Linked DNA regions of Drosophila melanogaster. The protein of the gene in region 3 purifies or fractionates together with the protein of the main gene of each other region. This does not show direct contact. Each region holds a gene or a part of one and is shown on either strand. Other genes may lie near its edges. The genes, in order: Rif1, His1:CG33825 and SuUR.

Region 1 (13,232 bases), on a different chromosome or scaffold from region 3:
AGCCAAGTGCATGGACCACTTTACCCACTACAGCTGCGATTGTCAGGCAGGTTTCCATGGCACCAACTGCACGGACAATATTGACGACTGCCAGAACCACATGTGCCAGAACGGTGGAACGTGCGTGGACGGCATCAACGACTACCAATGCCGCTGTCCAGACGACTATACGGGCAAGTACTGTGAAGGCCACAACATGATCTCGATGATGTATCCACAGACGTCGCCTTGTCAAAACCACGAGTGCAAGCACGGTGTCTGCTTCCAACCGAACGCTCAGGGCAGCGACTACCTATGCAGGTGTCATCCGGGTTACACTGGAAAGTGGTGCGAGTACCTCACCAGCATAAGCTTTGTCCACAACAACTCGTTTGTAGAACTGGAGCCACTGCGAACACGTCCGGAGGCGAACGTGACGATAGTCTTCAGTAGCGCGGAGCAGAATGGAATTCTCATGTACGACGGCCAGGATGCTCATCTTGCAGTGGAACTGTTTAATGGGCGTATTCGGGTTAGCTACGATGTGGGTAATCACCCTGTGTCCACGATGTACAGCTTTGAGATGGTGGCCGATGGAAAGTACCATGCCGTGGAGCTTCTGGCCATCAAGAAGAATTTCACGCTGCGCGTGGATCGCGGATTGGCCCGTTCCATCATCAACGAGGGCTCCAACGACTACCTGAAACTCACGACGCCCATGTTCCTGGGCGGCCTACCCGTGGATCCTGCACAGCAGGCGTACAAGAACTGGCAAATACGCAACCTTACCAGCTTTAAGGGCTGCATGAAGGAGGTGTGGATCAATCATAAGCTGGTCGACTTTGGCAATGCCCAGCGCCAGCAAAAGATCACACCAGGATGTGCCCTGCTCGAAGGAGAGCAGCAAGAGGAGGAAGACGACGAGCAGGATTTCATGGACGAGACACCGCACATCAAAGAGGTGGGTTGTCCTGTAATCACCACTAGAGAAGGCTTTAGCTAAACAATTTTGTCCATTTTCAGGAGCCGGTGGATCCTTGCCTGGAGAACAAATGCCGTCGGGGCAGTCGCTGTGTGCCGAATTCCAATGCCAGGGACGGCTACCAGTGCAAGTGCAAGCACGGCCAGCGCGGCCGCTACTGCGATCAAGGTGAGGGCAGCACTGAGCCCCCAACAGTCACCGGTACATACATCTATCATGCTTTTGCTACTCACAACTCACACCCGGGTGTACACCATTCACTACTAACCAAAAAATATGACATAACTGAGTAGGGCATTTAAGATCTATATAGTTTTGTTTTGACTGTGAATATGTGGTAAAAGTAGATGGGTACTCAGCTTAATTTTTCAAAAAGAATTGTAGGCTTAAAATTCTCAAGAAAACAAAACCAAACAACCTCATTGAAAAATTTAGAATTACGGTACTAACGTGATTTTATTTAAAAAAAAAGGTACTTATATCAGAATCGCAATTTCATAAATAGCCAAGAAACACGGCAGAGGTGTTCACCTCACTCTTAAGCGTTAATCATATGGTGGCACATGCTAAATATTAATACTACACCAGCAAGCTTTAATTATTGACACATATACGCACACGCATATTCATGACATTCGCTTTTCACGCTACTCATCCATCAAAGGGAAATATCGTGGGGTTTTTGATGGGGGGGGGCGGAGACGACACTGTGCACTTTGTTAGTTCTAATTATCCGACCGCAACTCACGTTGCAGCCACTGCCTTAGCTCGCCGACTAATTGCGTTCTGTTGACTCTTTCCTTCCACCCACAGCGGCGTCCACCTGTCGCAAGGAGCAGGTGCGCGAGTACTACACGGAGAACGACTGTCGCTCGAGGCAGCCGTTGAAGTACGCCAAGTGCGTGGGCGGCTGCGGCAACCAGTGCTGCGCGGCCAAAATTGTGAGACGGCGCAAGGTGAGTGAATCTGAATATACAATATGTCCTGGTGTTTAAAACTAATCAATCTGCCCGTTTTGCCTACAGGTGCGCATGGTGTGCAGCAACAACCGCAAGTACATCAAGAACTTGGACATCGTGCGCAAGTGCGGATGCACCAAGAAATGCTACTGACTGAAAGATGCGACTACCCAATTGCTCGAACGGAGCAATAGCAGCTTAGATGTTAGTTTAGGAACAGGTTTAAATCTAACTTATAGTAGTAGTTATAGTAACGATAGTCTTAGCCATAGCACTAGGGATAGCACGGATGTTAGGGGGACGAAGGATGAAGCGGAGGAGAGTGCTGACGCGGGGGAGACAACGGAGGAGGTGAGGGACGAGAGTGATGATTACCCCACGGACGGCATGCAGTCCGATCTCTACGACGACACCATCGATGACGACGATGACGATGGTCTCGATGATGATTATGCAGACGAGGAGGATGGGGAGGAGGATCCAGAGCAGCTTCCCGATCCCAAAGGTCTGGTAAGTGTGCCAGATGAAGAGGAAGACATGGGTTACGACGAGGATGACGAACGTATCGCCATGGAGCGGCCAAGAACGGTTAGACCCAGGCCCGACGAGGAGCATTTCCTTAACGAAGAGGGCAGTGGTTTCGGCGGCTTTCGATCGCGATTCCGGCCGAGCAATAGCTTCCGCGAGACTCAGCTGGAGAATATCCGCAAGAAGCTGCTCACAGAAGCACAGGCGGCTCCGGAAACGGCTGTTGCGGTGGCCGTGCCGAGCACTGCGATAGATCTGCGCGAGAGCAGCGGCCACTTTGCCAACGATGACGAGGATGGCGAGGACGGCGATGACGGCGTCGATGACGAGTTCGCCGACACGGGGGAGAACCAGGGGCGCGGCTTCTTTGGCTCCCAGCAGCAACAGCGCAAGAACGGTCCGTATCACCGCAAGAACGGCAACGATGCCATCAAAATCATCTCCACGCCGCTGGGCAAGGTGAGCATTGTGTACCAGCAGACGGACAAGGATCAAAGTCCGGACAAGGATGCGCAACAGCAGCAGCAAAAGAAGCCGGCGCTCACCGACTTCGACGCCCTGTCACCGGACCCCGAGAGCAGTCATCGCTTTCCGTCGCCCCACCCCAAGATTACACCTGTTCTGACGCCCGATGGCAAGGTGGCGCTGCTCTATCGCGGAGACTCGGAGAGCTCCAAGTACGAGCCCATACGCAACCTGACGCACAAGTTTTCGGGACAGCCGGCCAAGGAGTCAAAGCCTAAAACCGAAGATTCCTCCTCGGCGGAGGACTCTGTCTACACGGACAGCGAGGATACCGAGGACAGTAAAGGTGAAACTAGTGCTGGAAAGTCCTCACCAGTGGCCTCCACGCCCAAGCCACTGCAGCCAGAGATTTTGGAGCCTCCAGATAACGTCCAGCCAGGAGGGTCATTTATAATTCGGCCCACCTCCGACTCGCTTCTGCCGATGATCAACAGGCCACTGTCCGAGGTTCTGGGCATCAAGAAGAACCAGTTCCAGGAGACCCGGGTGCGTGACCAATTGCCCACGCAACAGCCTCCGCCTCCACTGCCGGAGGCCACGTCCCGTAGTCCCGCTTCCGGACATCAGTTCCTAGCCAAGGTGAACCTGGCTGAGTTCCCGACATCCGGAAGGACGCTCCAGACGCCGCTGATCCCCAGCACCCACGACTTTGACTTCAGCCGTGACAACACGATGCTGGACGAGCGGTCGCGGGTGCGTGAGTTGGAAAAGCAGCGGGAGCGGGACAAGGAGCACAACGAGGCCACCAGCAAGGGAGCCACCGAGGCACACACCATAGCCAACGAGCAGCTGCTCTCCAAGACGGAAGTCATCAATCTGGCCATTGTGCCACAGTTTGACGAGGACTTGGAGCGTCTACAGCGGCTGCAGGAGAATGGTGGTCGGCGCCACCATAGGGCGCGACATCGTCATCGGCAACAGTCGGAGGAGGAACTGTCTGGCATCCATTGCATCATGCAGGTCATGATGGGCGTGGCCGCCGTGTCGACGGTCTTCGGCATGCTGGGCACCTTCTTCAAGCAACGCATCCTCGATCAGCTGCGCATGATGCACTGGTAGTACAACAAGGGGGATTCGATTTTCGGTGTCGAATGCCCCACATCCCCCCACCCAATCCCCGTTTCCTGCATCGTCATGATCATCATGCAGTCTATGGAGGCTGGCTAGCTGCCTTCGGGATGCAAGGTCCTTCTTCTACTACTAGCACTCATATACTCGAATATATACTCGTACTCGTACCATATGCCATATGCCATATATTAATCGCATAATCTATGTAACACAGCGGCATCGATTTGCTTTCGTCCCCTTCCGCTTCCTTATATATATTTATATATACATTTATATATCTATCTTATCCTTCGACATTGTGCTCGCAAATGCGGACACTTCCTTGCTACACATGTATTCTATATATTCGCATATATCAATTTACTAGTGCAAGCTACCCAGGCGATGTACATAATAACAGAACCATAATACGGCGATCGATCGATCCGGATATCTATGTATTTATGTGAGACGCAACTGTAGCCCCTGCCACACTCCGCCGGAAATTAGCTGACCCACGTCACTTCTTCCCCGTTCCTTCTTTCGCACGTTGTGTGCCCTATTTTCCCCTCCCATGTAGGACATTCTCAATCACATCAGCGTATACAAGCTTTAAGCAAGTCATTGCATGTGCCACGCCCCCTCGAACTGAACTGAACTCAACGCCCAACCCGCCCAGCATGAGTCCCGCAGCAAATACATTCCCTCCATCCCCCCACCATCCGTCATCCGCCAGAGGAACCAGTCGAGGAGCTCGGAAATTGAACGTAGAACAGATTCCTTTTGTAGATAGAAAACGAAACAGTTGTTGGGAGATGGTAACCAGACGAATGTCGAATGACAAACGATAAATAATGATAAACTAAACTAAAGTTCTAAACAAAACAAAACACAGTAAAATCGCACAGAAGCGCACGCATTACAAAATACAAAAACCTGCAACGGTCGTTTTAAACGCTCCGTTCAGTTGTCTCAAAGAAACGAGTAAACGATAATAAGTGCATAACGAAAACCTTCTTTAGTCTAAGTTGCTCAAAGGATAAAGTATTTTGATAGAACCGGAAAGGATCGAGAAACAAACCAATAAACCACAAAGAATCGAATTGAATCGTAACGAAACAAAGGCCCCAAACGTGTAACGAATTTCCAACAAATTGTTGCAAGTGTTTTCCTAGAATTAGTCCTAATTAAACTAAATGTGTGCAAATCGAAGCGTAACTAATATTACAATTAATCTAAACTAATTGAGGAAACATAAACCTAAACATAAATCGGATAACAACATCTAAGCTGGGTAGTCGCATGTAAATCTCTAACAATTAACAATTACCGACCTAAGTTAGACCTAAAAATCGAAACAAAATCGAATCGCATTTAAAGAAATCTACATAATAATAATAATTTATACTAATCTATATATACTTATATGTATGCTGTATGTATGTATGACCCTATATGTATATGTAAAATGTTTTTGACTATTTTTCACTATTTATATTCATATATATTATATATGCATATACGATACATGTGTAATAGCCCCTTTTGGTCATTTTAGTTGTCTTTTATATATATTTAATACGTGTATTATTTTTATTAATTATTCAAGTATAACTATGCGCACCAATTAAACGCATACCTTATGTATAACCTATTGACAAATATATATATATATATTATGTGTAATAGCTGTTGCTAAACCAAGTTTAATTATCAGTTTTTTATTTAACCTTTTTCCGGCGAAGCTTTCGACGGTTCACAGCCGCAAAATTGTGTTCAGCTAATTAATTAGGAAGAGAACGTGTCCCGAGCAATAATGGGGGAAATGACAATTATAATATTCATTTCTGTGTGTAACAATTATTTCCTAATAAAATTGACAAAGAAAAATGTTTAAAATTAAACGAGTTTGTGTTTTGCAACTATGTCGATCCATAAAAGGTGCAGATTCTGTATGATTTGCAATTCCACGTTTTAAATACTTTTTAGCTTGTAATTGGGGAGTTTAAAATGTTTAAAAATCCAATTGAGTCCCGCCAGTTACAAAGTTATTTTACGGAAATCAGTTGAGGACGGCGGTTCTTGAGCTCTACAATATCGAGTAAAAAGCAATAAACGAGTAAAAGCTAAAATAATAATAACGGTAGTCCTTTGTGATGTTGCTAGGATTTTAAATTTAAATTATTTTTAACTTCCGGCGTTGCACAAGTCTGGCAACTCTGAGTTTCACAATTTTGGTATTTTCATACTGTCGGCGATAACTTGTCGATGACATATCGACCTGCTTTTGCCACCTCTAGCCATAGCAATTCGCGCGCTTTTTTCTTCGACAGTCTTTAAAACTGCGGGAAAATAACTTGTGGCGTTCGCAGGCGGAAGAAAATAATATAATTAAATAAGCGTATCATCCAGCGTACGAGCCATGGATGTAGACTTCGGCGCGCAGGCGGGGCAGTCCTACCGCACGGTGCAGCTTTCCGCGAAAGAAGTGCTCGCTGCTGGCCGCCGTCAGCATTATTGCAACGTAAGTAGGGCACCCAATTGCAGCGCCAAGTATGTATCTCACTATAGCTCCGGCCCCCCACCTATATTTCCATGTGCACCACCAGATGATCGACTTGTTGGCCAGCAGCTGCAAAAGCTCCGGTTTGATAGCCACTTCCTTTACGGATGACGAACTGGTGGAGTTCTGGCTGGGAGATATCCTGCCGCTTATGTTCGATGCGGACCGAAAGATCCAGGACTGTGCCGTGGCAGCTCTTGCGGAGGCACTGGTGGCTCTTGACGTGTCCGTTATCCACTCGGCCAAGTGCTGGCCTCAGATCCGCAGTGAATTTGTCGACAAATACACCATCATCATCGGGGAGATGCGCGATGCTAAGAACTCCAACTGGCACAAAATATGGACGCTGCTGGTACAAATCATGGACGAGGATTTGCTCAGGGGCTGTGTATATATCAACAAATTCTTGGCTCTGGTTGAATTGGGCTTCCGCAACCCGGATAATGGTGTGCGGTCGGAGGCATTTCTTTGCTGGCGCGTGCTCATCAAGATCTTTGCCGCCTACGACGAACTGACATCCGCGAAGAGGCTTCGTTTGCTGCTGATCCCCCTGCGCACTTCACAATCGCGATCCTCGCACGTGAGTGGCATCAAGTTGCGAGTGTGGTGGTATCTGCTCAGCTGCCTGGACCACGAGTTACCCAAGTCTTTTGACAGCGCCGTGGAGCACTTTTTGGCTTTTATGCTAGGCGGAGGTCCACGAAATCTGGCTACGGGTCTGGCGCACAACTACCAGACGGCTCGGGAGTTGGCCCTGCCCTGCCTTGTGGCCCTTTGGGGCGTGGAGTCCAGTGAACCGTTGCAGCGTCTAATGAGAGAGCTACGCTTGGAGACCTTGGTCCAGCCCTCGCCTCTGATGAGCGTAGAGGTATTCCAACAGCATTGGAAACCTCTTTTGGCCGCTGCCGTTTCCGGTTTAAAGTTGCTTACCGAGAACGATGCCACAGAAGCGGAACAACTCCTGCTGCAGTTGCTCGTGCGGAATCTGTGCCTTGCCATGTTTCGGTTGGCAGTTGCTCCCTTCAATGTGGCGTGCTGCAGTGAAATCGAGAAAATCCTGCAGGCTGAAGATAACTCCGGTGGCCGAGTTGTACGCGCTCTTTTCAATACCATAGCCGCAGATAACTTGGTAATGGAGCGTGTGTCTGGAAGCGACCATCTTGATGTTCTGGAGGCCTACTTGAAACTTGTACTGAAATCCAAGACAGAAGTTCCGGCAGCAATTCTGCAGCGAAGTATCGCATGCATTTTCGCAGTCGATCGTATCGAGGCGAACAATCAGAACGAGTTCCGGATGCTGGGCTCCTTCGCTGAGCTTCTGATGCAGGCCAACGACGAAGAGGACTTTGAGGGATTCGCATTCAAGCTGCAGGTGTGGCGACAGGTGTCGCAGGCGTTGTCCAACTATCTGCGAAACAATGCGCTTGAATACCGTGTGGCACACAACGCTTCCCTTTTGGACACTTGGCTTTTATGGCCACTTCAGACACTGGCTGCCTTTGCGGGACGGCGTGCTAGCAACTCCTTCGATGCCTCTTTTTGCGATCAATGGCGCCAACTGGTAAACGCAGGCCAAAACGCGCCGGGGAGGAAGAAGTTCTTGACGGACCTGAAAGCCACACTTACAGACCTCCTAAAGAGCAAGGATGAACCGCTCTTTGCAGAGCTCTTCGATGCTTATGTGACCTCCTTAATCAAGTTTGGACTCTGTAAGGAGGCACCTTTGTATAAGGACGTTTTTGGGCTACTTCAAACCATTTTCGAGCAGCCCTCCTCCCAGAAAACGCTCGAAGCCTGTTTAAACACCCTCCGCAACCTGGTGGTGGAGTTGCGGCAAAACGAACTAATGGTAGTGTTCGATTCATTGAAACCAACATTGTCTTCTGGCATCCAGTGCTGGAATAAGATGAAGTGCGAAGGCGGATTCTTGGAGGAGTGGAAGCGGGGAATTCAAGAAAAGTTTCGCAAGCTACCCATGAAGACGATGGCCAATCAGCTCAAAGAACTCTTTAAGGCAGATGATCTCTTCGTGATCATCCCATCAGTGTGGAGTCTGAATCCAGAGAAGCTGACGGATCGTCAAAAGGAGCGCTTCGCTGAAAAGTCGGACATTCCAGCTCTGTACAATGATATGTCGCAGTCTCAGGACTCGGCTTCCATTAAGCCCTGGACCCCTAAGAAGGTGGTTATTGCAAAGAGCAAACAGGGTGAGCTGGCCTTAACCGGCAAGGATGACAACGGCGAGGTGATCGATATAACGGCCAGCGAGGAGTCTGAGAAGGAACCAGTGAGAGTTGACGTAGTTACACCCATCCGAAAGAAACCGGGGCGTAAGTCCCAAGCTCAAAAAGAACTCGAGGCCGCTGCCAGGGCTGCTTCTCTTGCCGAGGAGCCGCCAAAGCGTCAGACGCGAACACGGGCGGCTCAAAAAGAAACGGAACAGGTGGCTCAGCCACAGCCAGCGTTTGAACCACAGCTCAGATCGCCAAAGAAATTGCCACCGTCCCCGGTCGTTCAATCTACAGCAGGTACGTGAAACAAGTAACAGGTGAGCTAAGGATGTTAATCCCAACACTTGAATTTTTGCAGCTGCCGTTAAGCAGGCAAAGGTTGCAAAACCCACCCCCGTTGTGGTAATCGCGCAGAGCGAGGATCTTTTCCCGGAAGTCGCAGCTGAGCCAGAGCCTCAGCCAGAACCGGTTAAGAAACCCGACCCTGTTCCAGAAACAACACAACTGACCCCGCCTGATGTACCCTTGGAAGCTGTACCCTCTACCCAACTGCCTGGAAGCAGCGGAGATCCTGCCGCTTCTGCGGGGGCTGTGGCTGCCGGTGAGATGTCTCCAAAGAAATCAGGCACGCGAATATACAATTTGGTAAGTAAATCGCATTAGACTTGGTTAAAACGGTTACTTTATTACAATGTTTTTATGAACTTTTTTAATTTCCGCCTTCTTTTCGCAGAGCTCTCCACCTGATCGCAAGCAGACAAACAACTCCTCGAGTCCAACATTGCGGCCCAAGCCCACGGGACATCTGACTGGACGCGGTGCTCAGTTGATCAATATGATTCGCAACAAGAAGCTGGACGCTGCTTCCGGCTCGCCGTATGCGTGCATGTCTACTTCGCGCCTGGTTCACCAAGTGACGCCGGCCCGTGCCCAGGATCGCGCCGAGCAGGTGTCCACTCCCACCAGCGAGCTAAACGAGCTGACGGGCACGGATCACACTTCCACACCGATTCAGGCACCTCCCTCGAAGGATCTATTGGTGTTTTCCAAACGACTGCCATCCCCATCGGCCAGTCCCTCCGTAAGCATCTTGAAGCGCAAGCTACGATGCGAAAGTCTCGATGATGTTACTCTGGACTCGCCGGCTCTAAAGCGTAAGCGAGTTAGTTTCCACGACCCACCGGTGTCCGTCACCAAGGAGTATCTACGCGATGCTGAGGAGACGCGCAGCAGTTTGAAGCCCAAACGCTGTCTGCTTATGGACAAGGTGGCCCAGACCACCGAGATGCGCCAGGCGTTGAGGAGACGTGGTCGGTTAGACAGCATAATCGAAATAGAGCGTTTCGCTAGCGAACAGACGGCCAGAACAGCGACGACGGACAAGAGCCTGGACAAATCCACTGGCGAAGCACCCGAGGAGGATGCTTTCACCAGCTTAAAGTGGAACGACACAGGCAACGCGCACAACATTAGCATATCCGAAGAACCCGTCAAGGCGATGGAAGTGGAGTCTGAACTCGAGACAGCCGGCCAGGATCTAGCCATCATGGATCCAGAAGCCGCTCTTGATCTGGCGGTGGCGCAATTACCGCTGGAGTCGGTTTTGCAGCGCTACTTTGACAAGAGTCCGCTGAAGAGCGCCGGCATGTTGGCTAAGTTTCTGTCCGCCCAAATGACGGCAAACGAAAAACTTAAGACCAACGTGCTAGAGACTCTGTCGGAGAACCACTCCAAGGATTTCCTGGACCACGCTGTGCGCGAGAATCTGTCGTCGGTGGTGTGCGACCGCCTGAACCCGACCTCTGTGCTGGAGTACGTATGCGCCAAGTCCAAGATCAGCGCAAGTTGCCGCAACGGGCTGCTGGCCCAGGTACCCGAAATTCTGAAAAGCGGCCCACGTTCCGATTCTGAGCGCCTGGCCTTCGTACAACAACTGATGGTGCAGTGCAGCCCCGGTGACGACCTGCTCCTCGATCTCATTGACCTTCTGATGCGTACGCGTCGGGAGCGGAACAACAGCACCTCCACTCACATCTCCAAGGGCGTCGTATCCGCCGTTGGAAGCCCTGACAACGTGGCCGAGACCGCGGCCGACTCCTCATCAAACTTATAGATTGGACCTGACTTGAAATTACGAATGAAATATTAAGCACTTGGCCATTGAACTCGATTAAGTATGGGAAGTTCGATTGTAACTAGTTGGTTCTAGATAGTTAAGTTTAAATTGCATTATGTTTAAGATTTATATTATGCCCGTTGGTGTATTATGTTTTGCTGCAAAAACTTGCTTCATATTCTTACAATAAATTTAATATTTTATTATTATAAAAAGTAGAAAGTCATCAATATATTAGATAATATATATATATTGGTGGGAGAACTTATTTATTTTTAAGTACATCGATCATAATTCCTATAGATAAAGGAAAACAGCAAAAGGAACGAATTTGATAAGAAAACCCAGACAATTATTTTAACTTGTTTTCGAATTAAAATTAGTGTATTTAACTCTGGGAGTTCATATACTCAAAAGTCCACACTGCAGACAATGTTACCTAAAATCGTAATCGATTGCCATATAATCTAGGGAAATCTTATCAGTACGTCAAAAGTGACGTGACAGATACGTTTCCCATCAGGCAGATAAATAATTAGTATGATTTGTGTTAACTTCGTGTTAGCTATTCAGCGAGTTCAATGGTACATTGATCAAATATTGTCAGGTAATCATGATGGAATTGAAACGACTATTCTGAGTGATAAAGTGGTGCTGAATAGGTGTAGGGCATTCCAAAGTCTTAGAGTTGCGCTTTTTAGGTGCTTGTGATTATGCTGGATACTTTTGGGGGTCAGGTAGTGGCACCTTCAGTGGAGGGCAAGCTCCACGTAGAAACCTCCACTGGTGCCGGCCCAACCCTATCTGGTTGATTTGTTGTTCTGGTCGCGGCAAAGTCAAATTACCCCGCCATGTCCGCCGCATCCATTGATAATGTTCACGTGCTAGCAAACAACGCGTCGTCGCCGACATCGGCAGATAGAGATACGTCGACTGGCGACGCCGACGATCTTTAAAATATATACACTACACTATATGGCATACATGTGTGTAGGAATACGTCTACGGCGACGTCTTTCGCTGGCATTTGTGCAAATACTACAATATAATATTATGTTCCAACGTGGGCGGAGCGCTCTACACGCCACGGATGCGTGTTAGGTGCTCCGTCGGTGCTCCAACAAAGACGTTGGATACTTTGTATCAGTTACAGGCGGCGTGATAAGTGCGCTTTCGGCACAATTAGCCAGACGTTTTAATTTGGGAATGCCAAGGTCGTTTGTAGGTCTGTACTTAGCACTGCTGTTCGTAGGATCCCGATCGCCAAATCGGCGGATCTGGCCGCCCATATATATAAATAGCGATGGAAAGTTCTTGCCCAATTGCGCAAGTGAAACTGACCTACCTAACCCAGGCCATCTCGTGTACGATGACGCAGTCCGTCCGTACTTAAGTCTTCTGCTCCGTCTGCTCTCTGTCTGCGGAATCGGCCAGCCAGTCAGCCGATCGAGAGCACAGTCAAATGTGTCTAACCCTCCCCTCGCAACAAAGATACTACATATTCATACGCCCCATGGACCGGTCGTATCCATATGTGATTCATTCATAAGCCGGGTGCCCTCGAAACGCGTGAGGCACTTGTGAAATGGCCTCTCTTATCAGGCGGTTAGTTCCCGAATCGATTTCGATGGCGAGCCGTGGAAATTCACGGAAGAGCAGCCTTGCTGGCCCGCGTTCCTATCAGCAGCACTCGCCGCATAATTGAATAATCTGAATCTGCCGAGCGAAGAGCGCGAAACAATAAAAATATCAGATACGCTGCCCGACCGCCGCCAGTTACAGAACAAATTCGCTGCGAACACAACGTGGGCGCATCTCGCAGGTGCCAAAAACGAGGTAGAAAGACAAAGACAAGCAAATGTGCGGGGGGTTTTTGAAAGCCACCTATATAGAGATCGGTTTATAGCCACATAAATATGTACATATATCCGTCGGGTATTTTGCTTAATTTTCGATGAAACAATTTGTGACACAGAATAAACTTGTATAAAAAAAACTAATGCTTATCGCATTCTTGGATAACACTTTTCAAAATAAAATACGGCATGTGTAAATAGTGTTGAAATGAGAAAATTGTTGGCTGTACTGACATAATTGCCTACATTTAACTATATTTATTTATGGTGAAGTGATTAAGGATGCTTGTGAAAATTGAATTAATTCTGGTTAAGTGTCAAAAACTACTGTTTGCACAAAAAATAAGAATGCTCGATATTCCAAACCACTTGGTACTCAAATCAAAACTAATTTATCCCATATGCATTAGGAAACGACAAAACTAAGGATATTACCGTGATAT
Region 2 (9,260 bases), on a different chromosome or scaffold from region 3:
CGAAAATAAGAAAACTGAGAAGGCAAAAGCCAAGGATGCCAAGAAAACTGGAATCATAAAGTCGAAGCCCGCCGCAACAAAGGCGAAAGTGACTGCAGCGAAGCCAAAGGCTGTAGTAGCGAAAGCGTCAAAGGCAAAGCCAGCGGTGTCTGCAAAACCCAAAAAGACGGTGAAGAAAGCATCGGTTTCTGCTACCGCCAAGAAGCCGAAAGCGAAGACTACGGCTGCCAAAAAGTAAATTGTGAAAAAGTGCAGTATTTGGTACATGTTCGCAATTAAAATTTTAGATTTATGTTTTATAGATCTGAAATTTGTTTAAACAAGTCCTTTTCAGGGCTACAACGTTCCGTTGCAAGAGAAAAAAACTTTTATTTTCTTCCACTTATTTATTAGCTGACGTTCGCAGCAACAATAAAACGTTTCATGTCATGAATTACATTGCATGTTGGTCGCATTCAGTTTTCGTTCCCGATTTTTTTGTATTTATTTGAACATTACCCAATTACCCATATTGCGGGTAAATAAGTTTTATTTGTAAATTCATATTCAATGATTGGTGGTTGAAAAATGCATTTCTTTGGTATAACACATTGTGGCCCTGAAAAGGGCCGTTTTGGATTATTGTCCGCATTCGCAGGAGAAAATTATTTAGAGCTGGTGTACTTGGTGACAGCCTTGGTTCCCTCACTGACAGCATGCTTGGCCAACTCTCCAGGCAAAAGCAGGCGAACAGCCGTTTGGATCTCCCGACTGGTGATGGTCGAGCGCTTGTTGTAGTGAGCTAGACGAGACGCTTCGGCAGCAATTCGCTCGAAAATATCATTTACAAAGCTGTTCATTATGCTCATCGCCTTCGACGAAATTCCGGTGTCAGGATGGACCTGCTTGAGAACCTTGTAAATGTAGATGGCATAGCTCTCCTTCCTTTTGCGCTTCTTTTTCTTGTCGGTCTTGGTGATGTTCTTCTGAGCCTTGCCAGCCTTCTTGGCTGCCTTTCCACTAGTTTTCGGAGGCATTGTTCACGTTACTTATATTTTCACAAACACAATTCACTTATCGTAATGTGGGCCCGAACGCGTTCACGTTTATACTTTTTTTCGAGCAGTCAATTCAGGTCTAAGTCACCCACCCCTAACTGAATGCGCAGGCAAACGGAAAAGTATAAATATTTCGCTGTCTGGGTTAGGCGAGCATTCGTGTTCCGTGCGTAAAGTGAACTAAGTGAAATAAACGCAAAGCAAAATGTCTGGACGTGGAAAAGGTGGCAAAGTGAAGGGAAAGGCAAAGTCCCGCTCAAACCGTGCCGGTCTTCAATTCCCTGTGGGCCGTATTCACCGTTTGCTCCGGAAGGGAAACTACGCAGAGCGTGTTGGTGCAGGCGCTCCAGTTTACCTAGCTGCCGTAATGGAATATCTGGCCGCTGAGGTTCTCGAGTTGGCTGGCAATGCTGCTCGTGACAACAAGAAGACTAGAATTATTCCGCGTCATCTGCAACTGGCCATCCGCAACGACGAGGAGTTAAACAAGCTGCTCTCCGGCGTCACAATTGCACAAGGTGGCGTGTTGCCTAATATACAGGCTGTTCTGTTGCCCAAGAAGACCGAGAAGAAGGCCTAAACGTTTCAAAGGCTAAGCTAAAAACCTACATGTACATAAAATCGTCAATCAAACCGTCCTTTTCAGGACGACCAAATTATTACCAAAGAATTGAAAAATTTTTTAGCTTGGCAATTTGTTGTAATTAGTAAATCATAAAGAATTATTAACGTAAAGATGGTAATGTAGTAAGGGTTTTCTACTATATGCGGTATAAACTATAATTTGCTTCTTTAAACAATCGCACACCACGATGTGATGCTGTACATGCGGTGTCTGAAACCATTTGTACAGTCTGTACAAATCCATGTTAGAAATATACACATTCTATTTGAAAGAGTACGAACGACAGACATTTATTTTTAGTTTAACATATTTTTTGGGAGTCCCGACCAATAAAATTAAATACTTTTTGAAAATCTTCCTCCTTTTAAAAACTGAATGGTGGTCCTGAAAAGGACCGATTGCTTAATAGGGGTACACAGGATGTACACTTTTTAACCGCCAAATCCGTAGAGGGTGCGGCCTTGCCTCTTCAGAGCGTACACAACATCCATGGCTGTAACTGTCTTCCTCTTGGCGTGTTCCGTGTAGGTCACGGCATCACGAATTACGTTCTCCAAGAAAACCTTCAGAACGCCACGCGTTTCCTCGTATATGAGTCCAGATATGCGCTTCACACCGCCTCGACGGGCCAAACGGCGGATAGCAGGCTTCGTGATACCTTGGATGTTATCACGCAGTACTTTGCGATGACGCTTGGCGCCACCCTTTCCCAAGCCTTTGCCTCCTTTACCACGACCAGTCATTTTTCACTGTTCTATACTATTATACACGCACAGCACGAAAGTCACTAAAGAACTAATTTCAACGTTTCTGTGTGCCCCTATTTATAGGTAAAACGACAAAAACCCGAGAGAGTACGAACGATATGTTCGTTCGCTTTTCGCTCGTCAAATGAAATGGCCTCTGTTTTTCTCTCTCTCTCTCTCTCTTTCACCGTCCAGGATTGCTATATAAGTAGGTAGCAAATGCTCTGATCGTTTATTGTGTTTTCAAACGTGAAGTAGTGAACGTGAACTTTAGTGAAACCCAAATCGGAGATGGCTCGTACCAAGCAAACTGCTCGCAAATCGACTGGTGGAAAGGCGCCACGCAAACAACTGGCTACTAAGGCCGCTCGCAAGAGTGCTCCAGCCACCGGAGGTGTGAAGAAGCCCCACCGCTATCGCCCTGGAACCGTGGCCTTGCGTGAAATTCGTCGCTACCAAAAGAGCACCGAGCTTCTAATCCGCAAGCTGCCTTTCCAGCGTCTGGTGCGTGAAATCGCTCAAGACTTTAAGACGGACTTGCGATTCCAGAGCTCGGCGGTTATGGCTCTGCAGGAAGCTAGCGAAGCCTACCTGGTTGGTCTCTTCGAAGATACCAACTTGTGTGCCATTCATGCCAAGCGTGTCACCATAATGCCCAAAGACATCCAGTTAGCGCGACGCATTCGCGGCGAGCGTGCTTAAGCTGACACGGCATTAACTTGCAGATAAAGCGCTAGCGTACTCTATAATCGGTCCTTTTCAGGACCACAAACCAGATTCAATGAGATAAAATTTTCTGTGGCCGACTATTTATAACTTAAAAAAATAAGAACAAAATTCATATTCTATTATTTATGGCGCAAACGGTACTGGGTCTTAAATCATATGTAAAAATACTAATTCTGCCAGAGAAGGAATAAAAATAATCTTATTTTAATTGTCAGCTCAACATTTATTAAATTAAAGAAGAGGTTAATACAAAAATATATATTTTTATTTGTTCTTTGTGCGAACATCCTTTAAAGCAGTGAAAGTGTCGTGCGGGGCAAGGGACTCTGAACCTTAAACATCTAAAAAAAAAATCTGAATTCTGTGTAAGACAGTTTGAAATTAATGAAATTACATTGATGACGGCAATATTTATAAAATAACAGAAAATAATAAAATAAAACTAGCTATTTTATATTTTTTCCATGTGTTAACTGAAGAATGTGTTATTATTGAAGAGGTCGTACGGGACAATTGACACTGTCCCTTCAAACGTCTGTAAAAAATAAAACCTATGTAAAATTCAGCACGGAAATTGGTTAATTTTGTTGCGGAATGTAATATATATTACATAATAAAGGATAATACAAAAATTGTTTCTTTTTATTTTTTATTTGATTTATTTATTTGACTACATAGACGGTAATGCATATGTGGCGAGGAAATCGATTGATTTCAGAACAAATTATTTTAAAATATGCATGAAAACACATTAATAACAAGCAAACACATTAATAATTTAAGAAAATATTATTTATTATATTAATATTATGTTATTTAAGAAAGTATCTGTATTTTTAACGATCGAAAATTATTTCTGAATGCTGCTTTAAAGCAAATTTTTCTGTAGTTCAATGTGAACTTAAATCAAGTGATAAAGTATCTTAATTAATAATAGACGCTTCTTTCAGAAGCCCTTTCTAGGGGATGAACGTTTCAATTTTAATAAACATTACGAATTAGTGAAATATTTGCGATGATTCTTATTTTATTAGATGTTTTTTTATAAATTGGTCCAGTTAAAAATTCGAATATAAAAATTCAATCAACATTTGAAAGTCTCAAAACCCATATTACATCCTTTTAAAAATGGAAAGTGACGAAAAAATTATTTAAAATTGTAAAACTATTAAAACCTTATTTTTATTAATGATTTAAAATACTAAAAAATTAAAAAGAGTTTACACTTCAAGCAAACTTCGACATAGTAAATGACTGATGTCAGTAGCATTGTTAAAGTGCTCTCCTCCTCGATTCTCATCAGAGCAAAGGAGGTTGGTAGGCCGAGCGCGAGCCATTTTTAACAGAAAAAAAGTGTTCTCAGTGAAAAAAAGATGTCTGATTCTGCAGTTGCAACGTCCGCTTCCCCAGTGGCTGCCCCACCAGCGACAGTTGAGAAGAAAGTGGTCCAAAAAAAGGCATCTGGATCTGCTGGCACAAAGGCAAAGAAAGCCTCTGCGACGCCGTCACATCCGCCAACTCAGCAAATGGTGGACGCTTCCATTAAAAATTTAAAGGAACGTGGCGGTTCATCACTTCTGGCAATCAAAAAATATATCACTGCCACTTATAAATGCGACGCCCAAAAGTTAGCGCCATTCATCAAGAAGTACTTAAAATCGGCCGTGGTCAATGGAAAGCTTATCCAAACTAAGGGAAAGGGTGCATCTGGATCTTTCAAACTGTCGGCCTCTGCCAAGAAGGAAAAGGATCCGAAGGCAAAGTCGAAGGTTTTGTCTGCTGAGAAAAAAGTTCAAAGCAAGAAGGTAGCCTCTAAGAAGATTGGTGTCTCCTCCAAAAAAACTGCCGTTGGGGCTGCTGACAAAAAGCCCAAAGCTAAGAAGGCTGTGGCTACCAAAAAGACTGCCGAAAATAAGAAAACTGAGAAGGCAAAAGCCAAGGATGCCAAGAAAACTGGAATCATAAAGTCGAAGCCCGCCGCAACAAAGGCGAAAGTGACTGCAGCGAAGCCAAAGGCTGTAGTAGCGAAAGCGTCAAAGGCAAAGCCAGCGGTGTCTGCAAAACCCAAAAAGACGGTGAAGAAAGCATCGGTTTCTGCTACCGCCAAGAAGCCGAAAGCGAAGACTACGGCTGCCAAAAAGTAAATTGTGAAAAAGTGCAGTATTTGGTACATGTTCGCAATTAAAATTTTAGATTTATGTTTTATAGATCTGAAATTTGTTTAAACAAGTCCTTTTCAGGGCTACAACGTTCCGTTGCAAGAGAAAAAAACTTTTATTTTCTTCCACTTATTTATTAGCTGACGTTCGCAGCAACAATAAAACGTTTCATGTCATGAATTACATTGCATGTTGGTCGCATTCAGTTTTCGTTCCCGATTTTTTTGTATTTATTTGAACATTACCCAATTACCCATATTGCGGGTAAATAAGTTTTATTTGTAAATTCATATTCAATGATTGGTGGTTGAAAAATGCATTTCTTTGGTATAACACATTGTGGCCCTGAAAAGGGCCGTTTTGGATTATTGTCCGCATTCGCAGGAGAAAATTATTTAGAGCTGGTGTACTTGGTGACAGCCTTGGTTCCCTCACTGACAGCATGCTTGGCCAACTCTCCAGGCAAAAGCAGGCGAACAGCCGTTTGGATCTCCCGACTGGTGATGGTCGAGCGCTTGTTGTAGTGAGCTAGACGAGACGCTTCGGCAGCAATTCGCTCGAAAATATCATTTACAAAGCTGTTCATTATGCTCATCGCCTTCGACGAAATTCCGGTGTCAGGATGGACCTGCTTGAGAACCTTGTAAATGTAGATGGCATAGCTCTCCTTCCTTTTGCGCTTCTTTTTCTTGTCGGTCTTGGTGATGTTCTTCTGAGCCTTGCCAGCCTTCTTGGCTGCCTTTCCACTAGTTTTCGGAGGCATTGTTCACGTTACTTATATTTTCACAAACACAATTCACTTATCGTAATGTGGGCCCGAACGCGTTCACGTTTATACTTTTTTTCGAGCAGTCAATTCAGGTCTAAGTCACCCACCCCTAACTGAATGCGCAGGCAAACGGAAAAGTATAAATATTTCGCTGTCTGGGTTAGGCGAGCATTCGTGTTCCGTGCGTAAAGTGAACTAAGTGAAATAAACGCAAAGCAAAATGTCTGGACGTGGAAAAGGTGGCAAAGTGAAGGGAAAGGCAAAGTCCCGCTCAAACCGTGCCGGTCTTCAATTCCCTGTGGGCCGTATTCACCGTTTGCTCCGGAAGGGAAACTACGCAGAGCGTGTTGGTGCAGGCGCTCCAGTTTACCTAGCTGCCGTAATGGAATATCTGGCCGCTGAGGTTCTCGAGTTGGCTGGCAATGCTGCTCGTGACAACAAGAAGACTAGAATTATTCCGCGTCATCTGCAACTGGCCATCCGCAACGACGAGGAGTTAAACAAGCTGCTCTCCGGCGTCACAATTGCACAAGGTGGCGTGTTGCCTAATATACAGGCTGTTCTGTTGCCCAAGAAGACCGAGAAGAAGGCCTAAACGTTTCAAAGGCTAAGCTAAAAACCTACATGTACATAAAATCGTCAATCAAACCGTCCTTTTCAGGACGACCAAATTATTACCAAAGAATTGAAAAATTTTTTAGCTTGGCAATTTGTTGTAATTAGTAAATCATAAAGAATTATTAACGTAAAGATGGTAATGTAGTAAGGGTTTTCTACTATATGCGGTATAAACTATAATTTGCTTCTTTAAACAATCGCACACCACGATGTGATGCTGTACATGCGGTGTCTGAAACCATTTGTACAGTCTGTACAAATCCATGTTAGAAATATACACATTCTATTTGAAAGAGTACGAACGACAGACATTTATTTTTAGTTTAACATATTTTTTGGGAGTCCCGACCAATAAAATTAAATACTTTTTGAAAATCTTCCTCCTTTTAAAAACTGAATGGTGGTCCTGAAAAGGACCGATTGCTTAATAGGGGTACACAGGATGTACACTTTTTAACCGCCAAATCCGTAGAGGGTGCGGCCTTGCCTCTTCAGAGCGTACACAACATCCATGGCTGTAACTGTCTTCCTCTTGGCGTGTTCCGTGTAGGTCACGGCATCACGAATTACGTTCTCCAAGAAAACCTTCAGAACGCCACGCGTTTCCTCGTATATGAGTCCAGATATGCGCTTCACACCGCCTCGACGGGCCAAACGGCGGATAGCAGGCTTCGTGATACCTTGGATGTTATCACGCAGTACTTTGCGATGACGCTTGGCGCCACCCTTTCCCAAGCCTTTGCCTCCTTTACCACGACCAGTCATTTTTCACTGTTCTATACTATTATACACGCACAGCACGAAAGTCACTAAAGAACTAATTTCAACGTTTCTGTGTGCCCCTATTTATAGGTAAAACGACAAAAACCCGAGAGAGTACGAACGATATGTTCGTTCGCTTTTCGCTCGTCAAATGAAATGGCCTCTGTTTTTCTCTCTCTCTCTCTCTCTTTCACCGTCCAGGATTGCTATATAAGTAGGTAGCAAATGCTCTGATCGTTTATTGTGTTTTCAAACGTGAAGTAGTGAACGTGAACTTTAGTGAAACCCAAATCGGAGATGGCTCGTACCAAGCAAACTGCTCGCAAATCGACTGGTGGAAAGGCGCCACGCAAACAACTGGCTACTAAGGCCGCTCGCAAGAGTGCTCCAGCCACCGGAGGTGTGAAGAAGCCCCACCGCTATCGCCCTGGAACCGTGGCCTTGCGTGAAATTCGTCGCTACCAAAAGAGCACCGAGCTTCTAATCCGCAAGCTGCCTTTCCAGCGTCTGGTGCGTGAAATCGCTCAAGACTTTAAGACGGACTTGCGATTCCAGAGCTCGGCGGTTATGGCTCTGCAGGAAGCTAGCGAAGCCTACCTGGTTGGTCTCTTCGAAGATACCAACTTGTGTGCCATTCATGCCAAGCGTGTCACCATAATGCCCAAAGACATCCAGTTAGCGCGACGCATTCGCGGCGAGCGTGCTTAAGCTGACACGGCATTAACTTGCAGATAAAGCGCTAGCGTACTCTATAATCGGTCCTTTTCAGGACCACAAACCAGATTCAATGAGATAAAATTTTCTGTGGCCGACTATTTATAACTTAAAAAAATAAGAACAAAATTCATATTCTATTATTTATGGCGCAAACGGTACTGGGTCTTAAATCATATGTAAAAATACTAATTCTGCCAGAGAAGGAATAAAAATAATCTTATTTTAATTGTCAGCTCAACATTTATTAAATTAAAGAAGAGGTTAATACAAAAATATATATTTTTATTTGTTCTTTGTGCGAACATCCTTTAAAGCAGTGAAAGTGTCGTGCGGGGCAAGGGACTCTGAACCTTAAACATCTAAAAAAAAAATCTGAATTCTGTGTAAGACAGTTTGAAATTAATGAAATTACATTGATGACGGCAATATTTATAAAATAACAGAAAATAATAAAATAAAACTAGCTATTTTATATTTTTTCCATGTGTTAACTGAAGAATGTGTTATTATTGAAGAGGTCGTACGGGACAATTGACACTGTCCCTTCAAACGTCTGTAAAAAATAAAACCTATGTAAAATTCAGCACGGAAATTGGTTAATTTTGTTGCGGAATGTAATATATATTACATAATAAAGGATAATACAAAAATTGTTTCTTTTTATTTTTTATTTGATTTATTTATTTGACTACATAGACGGTAATGCATATGTGGCGAGGAAATCGATTGATTTCAGAACAAATTATTTTAAAATATGCATGAAAACACATTAATAACAAGCAAACACATTAATAATTTAAGAAAATATTATTTATTATATTAATATTATGTTATTTAAGAAAGTATCTGTATTTTTAACGATCGAAAATTATTTCTGAATGCTGCTTTAAAGCAAATTTTTCTGTAGTTCAATGTGAACTTAAATCAAGTGATAAAGTATCTTAATTAATAATAGACGCTTCTTTCAGAAGCCCTTTCTAGGGGATGAACGTTTCAATTTTAATAAACATTACGAATTAGTGAAATATTTGCGATGATTCTTATTTTATTAGATGTTTTTTTATAAATTGGTCCAGTTAAAAATTCGAATATAAAAAT
Region 3 (6,807 bases):
CACGGTGCAGTACACAGAGCGACTATCCCATTGGCCATACTGGCTGAATACGGCTACGGCCAAGTACGTGGTCACCAAGTCATTACCCGGAGTATCGCCCGTGGCCTATGCCATTAAGTCCACGCATCAGACTTGCTTCTTTGCCGGATTCTATTGCCGTAAGATAAGACGGAAGTGATATGAATGCCCTCGCTAATCGTAAATGAATCTCTATTGCAGTACAATCACTGAGTGAATTCACGTTCAGAAACTCCAATGGTGATACCTTTGCCCAGGAGAACATCCAGTATCAGTGTCCACCACTCTTGGGCGGCATGTGTAGGCGGGAACTGGAGTTCCAGCGCCAGGCGGTGATGCACAACTTAACGATAATATTCGGAAAACAGAGAGGATAGCATACCAGGATCTAGTTCAAATTTAAATCATATGTGCAAACAACTAATTGACTTACCTACCAATAATCTTAATTCCTAATAAAAAAAAAACACACACAATACTTTGTTTTTAAATGTAAACCCTGTGTTTATTTAACGATGATACAAAATTACACGGTACTTGCTTCTAAAAACGATATCTTTCGTTACTTTAAAATTGTTGAATACACTTTGAATGCGTATTGAAATAATTTAAAAAAAAAAAAACACGTCTAAATCAGGTGGCACATTTTGGAAAATGAATTGAGAAACTAGATAAACTTGTGAACTAATAATTTACCAATTATATCTACTTACAAGATACGCATACAATATTATGCAGTGTCTTTTCAATTTTATGGTAACCTTACTCTTCAAAATGCGCACACAAAGTATAATTTTAACTAAATTAGCTAGACGGTCCTGTGCAATTTGATTTTACAACCTCATATTTGGATGCTGTTAACTTTTGATTTCGTACTATATGTTATATATTCCTTCATTCATTATATATTCAATAATTGGATTTGATTTGATTTGGTTTTTGTCATTTTCATTGATTGCTGTTCATCACTTGAACAGTTCCAATCGCTTTCTTTTGGTCGGTCCTGATGCTCCACCACTTCTCGCCGATCGCGTTTGACAAGCTGCTGCACTTGTGGATGAATTCACCGGCGTACTTGGTGCACTAACCGATTCCACGGAGCTGGTCTGTGAGGCTCCACCGCCGAAGACGGAGCCAAACCAGCGTGTTAGTTTCGTGGCCTGAGTGGATTTAGCACCCTGTTTGGGAGATTTGGGTGACTTGCGCAGCGATGCAAGAATGGAATTGCGATTACCATTCGAAGGTTGCGTTCGCTCCTGCGTAATTCCAGAACCTATCAAATAATTGGTGATTTTATTGGCCTGCGACGGCCTGACGGACTGTTGATCCGGTTGCACGGGCGATACTTCGCCAGAGGAGTTCAATCGCATGCGACTGCCAAATTGGCCATTGTTCGTTATCTCAAAGAAGTCATCTTCCAGCAGGGTTCTTCTTCTCTGCGTAATGGTAGACTCTGCATCATCCTTCTGGGTCAGTGGCAAGGTTGGCAAGACTTTGGGACTAGTTTTAGCCGACTGCTGTTGTCGTGGCTCGAACATTTGCTCCAGGATATCCAAACACGAGCGATCTCGCTTCTTTTTTGGCACCGATATATTTACTTTCGCTAGCTGCTGCTGAAACTGCTTCACCTCAGAGCCAAAGATCTTAAAGCCTTCGAAGGGCGATGAGGGTCTTGGTTGCGCCAGCGGAATCTGCGAGTGTTCCGAGGATATGCTAAATAGATCTGGAGATTTGTTGGCACTCCTCTTGGCCGGTGGTAGACCCAATCCGCCGCCGAAACTTGAATTGACGGACGTCACGGGTTTGCGTTTTCTTTTCAAAGCCTTGGTGCGACGACTCTGCGATGGATCCTGCGGAGAACACTCATCGTGCGAGCTATTGATCACCACTGTCTCAACTGGATCTTTGTAAAGCGGAATAGACACCACCTCAGAATCGTTGAGCAAATTGTGTGTAGACGGCAAGGTTAGAAGCATTGGAGTTTGTTGAGGTGTAAAGGGCACACGAAAAGCGGGCGACTCAATGGCATCCAAATTGTCTGGTATTCGCTGAGCACATTGCATGTACTCCGAGGACAACGAGCTACCACTGAGAACTTGAGGAGTAGGTGGCAAGTGCTTTGAATTCGGCTTAGTCTTTGTCTTCCCCAAATCTTCAGTCTTGGTTTGGCATTTTCTCGGACGTCCAGGCTTTCGTTTCGCAGTTCCTTGAGCAGGTACATCCACCGTCTTCTGTTTCTTTTCCTGCCCGACTTTAGACTTAGGCTCCTGCTTCACTATTTGTTTGCTACTTCTGGGCGTTTGGTTACCCTCCAACTTGACTCTCCTTGGAAAGCTACGCTTGACATCATCCAATGAGCGATGTTTCAAGTACTTACTGTTTATTTTTGTTTCAGCGGATCGTGTTAGGCGCTGCATTCCCCTTGTGGCTGGACGACCCACATCCACTGGGCTCACCGTGCGCTTTTTCAGATTTTTTCTTCTAGCTGTGGGCTCCGTTTTGGGCGTTACGATCGCAGTAGTGGTTCTGGACGGTGGTGGTGTGCTCAGAGTATCGAGGGAAACCCTTAAAATTCGAACATTGAGTCTCCTTGTCTTAGGTGTCAGATGAACGGTGGCTGCACGAGTTCTCTTCCTTGGCGGCATATTATCGGTCGCTTCATCATCCTCTTCGGAATCGGTGAGATCAGCTTTTTTGCGCGGTGACGTTTTTTTGCTAAATTTTTTCTTTGATTTCGTCCTTGGTGATTCATTTAATGAGGGCGTTCGATTTTGCGGAGTACTTGGAGGTGTTACAATCTCACAATCATCGCTGGATACAACTAATACCGGGTTTTGATCTGCATCAGGTTCTACTGTTAGGGGTTCATCGTCAGACTCGGAATACTCGAATATCAGCGGTGACATTGCCACATCATCCACGCTGTGCTCGGATAACCTATCCGTTTCTTCAAAGAGCCCAGTTTTATTTTGCTGAGCCGGATTGTTGTCTATGGAAGCGATTGTAGAGCACACATCTGAGCCGCTTATTGTGCTCTGGCTGTTCTTTGAGGCCAACCAGAGATTCAGATTGTGTTTGTATTGCTCCGGTGCGACAAGTGGCAGTGACTTGTCGAATTGATGACGAAAACGACGCAGACGAAAGTCCCTACAAATTATATAAGTTATTTTCATATGCAACTGACTATTCCGGTCTTATGCAACAGTGAAACTGATCGTTGCTGGTTCACCTACTTGATGTACTCGCTGAGGAATCCCCGCTGCTTGTAGTATTCCTCGAGATCTATGCGCTTACTGAATACCTCCTTCGGATCTGGCAGATGGAATTTTCGATCGAAGCTCGCAAAGCTTTTGTACTGATGCTCCAGTCGGCCGCCCAACCGTAGAACATTGTAGAGCAACCTAACGTCGGACTGCAGAGAGAGAGAAACCACATAAGCTAAAATGATATAAACCATATTATGAATGCATTGCCTCACCGTAACGTCAACACTGGAGATAAGAACGTTTACCCGTCCCTCGAATTGCTTCAGCAGCATGGAAGTGCAAAAGCTGTTGTTCAGCGAATGCCCCCGATTATCCACCATAATGTAGTCGAACTTGAGGCGACTGAGATCTCCAATGCTCCGTAGTTGGCTCCATTTCGCCAGGTAAACGCTGTGCGGGGAGTCGGTGGTATCTGTAAAGGCAGAAAGTGAAGGTGTTGAAGTTTAATTTTTAAATGGCAATAATGTGAAATTACGATAACATTCTTATCAACAAATCCATTTAAATATTAGGCATTACCTTGCACCCCCTGAATGATGTACACCTGGAGGTCAGTGAGAGTGTCCAAATGGAATCGCCAACCGGTGAGCAGTTGCTCATCGTTCTGGAGCACCACAAGTGTTTTTTTGGCGGGTGGTAGGGCACTTAGAAGTGCCGCCACCGTAGCGACCTTTCCAAGGCCACTCTCATCATTCAGGATGCAGAATTCCCGCTTAGCCAAACGATCGTAGACGAAGCGGACGGCATCCAGTTGAAAGCTCTTGAGGTACTGCGTCACGTGGCTCGTGACCAGTGCCTCATCTGTGAGCCGCACCTCCGGCGTTTGCTCGGATACAAAGTGATACATGATCCTTCAGAGAATTCGAATCAATGGTGTGCGTGATGCAGGGCCAGATAGATGGCAACCAGGATGTAGAATAGTTGCAGGTACGAGAAGATCACGAACATCGAAAATGAACCAATTATCATCTTTCGCGCCGCAGACGGCCCATCGAATTCGATATTCTCCGGATGCAGTATGTCCACCACGTTGTAGTTGTTGTTGATGATAACAGGATGTTGGATCTCGTACATGTGTTGAAACTAGTTAAGCTTCAATTTTTTCGGAGGACAATTTTCGTCCCTTTTGGGAAATTGGGTTAAGCGCTGTTAGTCATGGCGGGGGCGCGGGAAAAGGCTTAACAATCGAACAAGAAGAAAATATTATTTTTGGCTCCAATTCTATTTCACCATTCACACAGAACCGGCTGCGTCTTGTTGGCGCGATCAGCTGTTGGACGTTGGTAGTGTTGGCAAACGAAGCAATGTCTAGAAATAGCCAAAAGAGATACTGCTCTTGATTAATAGCAAAATATTAAAAAAAACTTACTGAACCGACAAGGATTAGTAAAATACATTAGGTTGGAAACCTTTGGCGAGTAAAATGTTTTTAAATTAAATTATTTATTCTGCCAACTCAAAACTTGTGTAAGGAATTCATTTTTATAGCTGCATTTAGCTCATCACTGTTGCAACTGTTGTGATTTCGTTTGCGGTTTGTTTCGCATGGAATTTGTTTAAATTTATTCAGACCAAATTGCCATGGCTGTTGCAAAGAAGGAAAAATTTGAGGCAAAAAAGAAAAGCCCTGAAAAGGGAAAACAGCAGAAAGCCAAAGTTGTTCCTGTCACACCGCCACCAAATGTAAAACAACGAACTGTGGTCACTCCTTGGCGAGACACGTGCGTAGACAAAAAGTGGAAACAAATCCAATCCGTTGATAAAAACATTACATTTTCAGGCTGGAATTTAATACAACGTACAAATGGTTGTTTGGCAAGTCCAACACACCAGCCACATGGCGTCAAGCGCTCAGTAAAATCCGCATTTGGTGTCTGCGAAGAGGAAGTCTCTGCCCGGCAGCGGTTTTGGCCACATCGGTGCTTGTTCAGGCGCACTTGGAGGACCAGGAGGGCAGCGCCAAAATACAGGACACCTATGCCAGTGCCTTTACACGATTCTACAACTTTATGTCCTCCATTATCCAGGGACACAACATGTCCAGCATGTATGAAACGGCCAAGGAACTGGGCCTCCAGTCGTTCATCGTTGATCTGCGCCACTTGTGCGCCCATGGACAGGAGCTGCCGCCTGTGGAGGTGCTGAGAAACACCTCGAATCATTGTCTGGAGTGGCTGCGCACCTACTACTGGTTGCCACACATGGAAACCATGTCCAATTTGGATGCTGGCAAACTGCATCGCAAGGACAAGCTTAAGTTTGAAAAGGCTGTGACAGATCTTCTGGAGATCTACGATCTAACCCTGGAGTGCCATATCAAGGGGGCTGAGAAACTAAAGGCCATTAGCAAGCTAAAATCCAGTGGTGAATTCAATAAGATACGAGTCTACTCCTCCAGCAAGAAGGCGAAGACATCGAAAGAAATTCTGAGTGCTGTGTTAGGTGATCTAAGTGCGTTGGTCAAAAAGGAGTCATCATCGATGAAGGATCTGCTGGACATATATACAAAATGCCTGCTTAAAATGAAATACTTCCTTGGCGTTGGCTTGGAAATCGACGACAACGAGGATGTCATCATTGCAGCCACACAGGGACTCTTCCGTCTATTGGCCGTGCAGGGATATATCGAGAAGGTTTTTTTGGCCCTAGTTCAACTGAGTGAAAACCAAAACGAGTCGGAGCAAAGGCGTCTGGGAGCCAGCTACTGGGCAAAGAAAATGTTGGAAACATTTGGGATGCTGTTCCGTATGAAGCGCATGTACAAAGCCGAACTGGATTTGGTTAGTATAAATACGGAGTGTGTTAACGATGAAAACACTAAAATATTCTTTATTTTCCAGAACGATAAACTAAAACCAGCGGACTTTGCCACCCTAAACACGGATAAAATTTCTAAGACAATGCGCAGTCTGTTAGTACACTCAAATGCCGATCTCTCGGTTACCCTTATTTTTGGCGACAATCCCAAAAAGTCCAGGTCTTTGATTTTTGATCGTGATTTTATTATGCAGCGTGTTGATGCATTTAGCAATTACTCAGCGCCCATTCTAAAAGGGTAGGTATACATTTTTTTTTGGGTTTACTTGCTTTTGGATTAATAAGATTGACATTTTCTTAGATTATTACCGCTCGCAGATCCTCCATACACCAAGACGCAAATTGAGGATTTAACTAAACTCTGCGATGCACAGCTTGAAGAATTTTATGAAGAGGAAGCTATGGAAGAAGATAGCTCTTCAGAGGAGAGCAACAATCTAGACCGTTTGGAACGATTTTTGGAACAAGCAGCTCAAAGCAAAGAGCATACATCAGACTGGGGAGTTTGGAAATTAGACAAGCGTAAGTTTTGATTTGGCTTTGCATTTATGTGATTTGAAAATTAATCAATTATCGCTCTTACTGTAAATGCTATTTCCAGATACCGATTGGCCCAAATGTGCATTGGGTGTGCTCCCTTGGGCTCAATAAATACGCAGATTAATATTAAATAAAGTAATTAATAAAAACTAGTACTAGATCCAGA

What was found.
Region 1: the proteins of SuUR (region 3) and Rif1 purify together in Drosophila melanogaster (affinity purification with western blotting; one study listed by BioGRID). This does not show direct contact.
Region 2: the proteins of SuUR (region 3) and His1:CG33825 purify together in Drosophila melanogaster (affinity purification with western blotting, with the first as the bait; one study listed by BioGRID). This does not show direct contact.

The regions. Positions count from the first base shown.
Region 1 is NT_033778.4:15,862,220-15,875,451, reverse strand, and holds Rif1 (Rap1 interacting factor 1), read left to right. Parts: upstream 1-6,304; 5' UTR 6,305-6,445; coding exon 6,446-6,547; intron 6,548-6,632; coding exon 6,633-9,114; intron 9,115-9,175; coding exon 9,176-9,462; intron 9,463-9,550; coding exon 9,551-10,930; 3' UTR 10,931-11,143; downstream 11,144-13,232. Other genes in the region: sli (slit), read left to right, coding at 1-940, 1,003-1,162, 1,775-1,917, 1,987-2,073. UniProt on the Drosophila melanogaster protein: Regulates the timing of initiation of DNA replication. Functions in copy number control by promoting the underreplication of DNA, which is found in many late replicating euchromatic regions of salivary gland polytene chromosomes.
Region 2 is NT_033779.5:21,466,908-21,476,167, forward strand, and holds His1:CG33825 (histone H1), read left to right. Parts: upstream 1-4,351; 5' UTR 4,352-4,510; coding exon 4,511-5,281; 3' UTR 5,282-5,374; downstream 5,375-9,260. Other genes in the region: His1:CG33822 (histone H1), read left to right, coding at 1-238; His2B:CG33896 (histone H2B), read right to left, coding at 645-1,016; His2A:CG33823 (histone H2A), read left to right, coding at 1,243-1,617; His4:CG33895 (histone H4), read right to left, coding at 2,094-2,405; His3:CG33824 (histone H3), read left to right, coding at 2,700-3,110; His2B:CG33894 (histone H2B), read right to left, coding at 5,688-6,059; His2A:CG33826 (histone H2A), read left to right, coding at 6,286-6,660; His4:CG33893 (histone H4), read right to left, coding at 7,137-7,448; His3:CG33827 (histone H3), read left to right, coding at 7,743-8,153. UniProt on the Drosophila melanogaster protein: Histones H1 are necessary for the condensation of nucleosome chains into higher-order structures.
Region 3 is NT_037436.4:11,062,719-11,069,525, reverse strand, and holds SuUR (suppressor of Under-Replication), read right to left. Parts: upstream 4,536-6,807; 5' UTR 4,359-4,535; coding exon of another isoform or gene 4,152-4,358; 5' UTR 4,132-4,151; coding exon 3,804-4,131; intron 3,697-3,803; coding exon 3,497-3,696; intron 3,431-3,496; coding exon 3,252-3,430; intron 3,166-3,251; coding exon 984-3,165; 3' UTR 501-983; downstream 1-500. Other genes in the region: CG6310 (uncharacterized protein), read left to right, coding at 1-158, 220-395; CG45101 (uncharacterized protein), read right to left, coding at 4,152-4,358; CG32075 (uncharacterized protein), read left to right, coding at 4,866-5,005, 5,065-6,064, 6,125-6,339, 6,403-6,623, 6,703-6,752.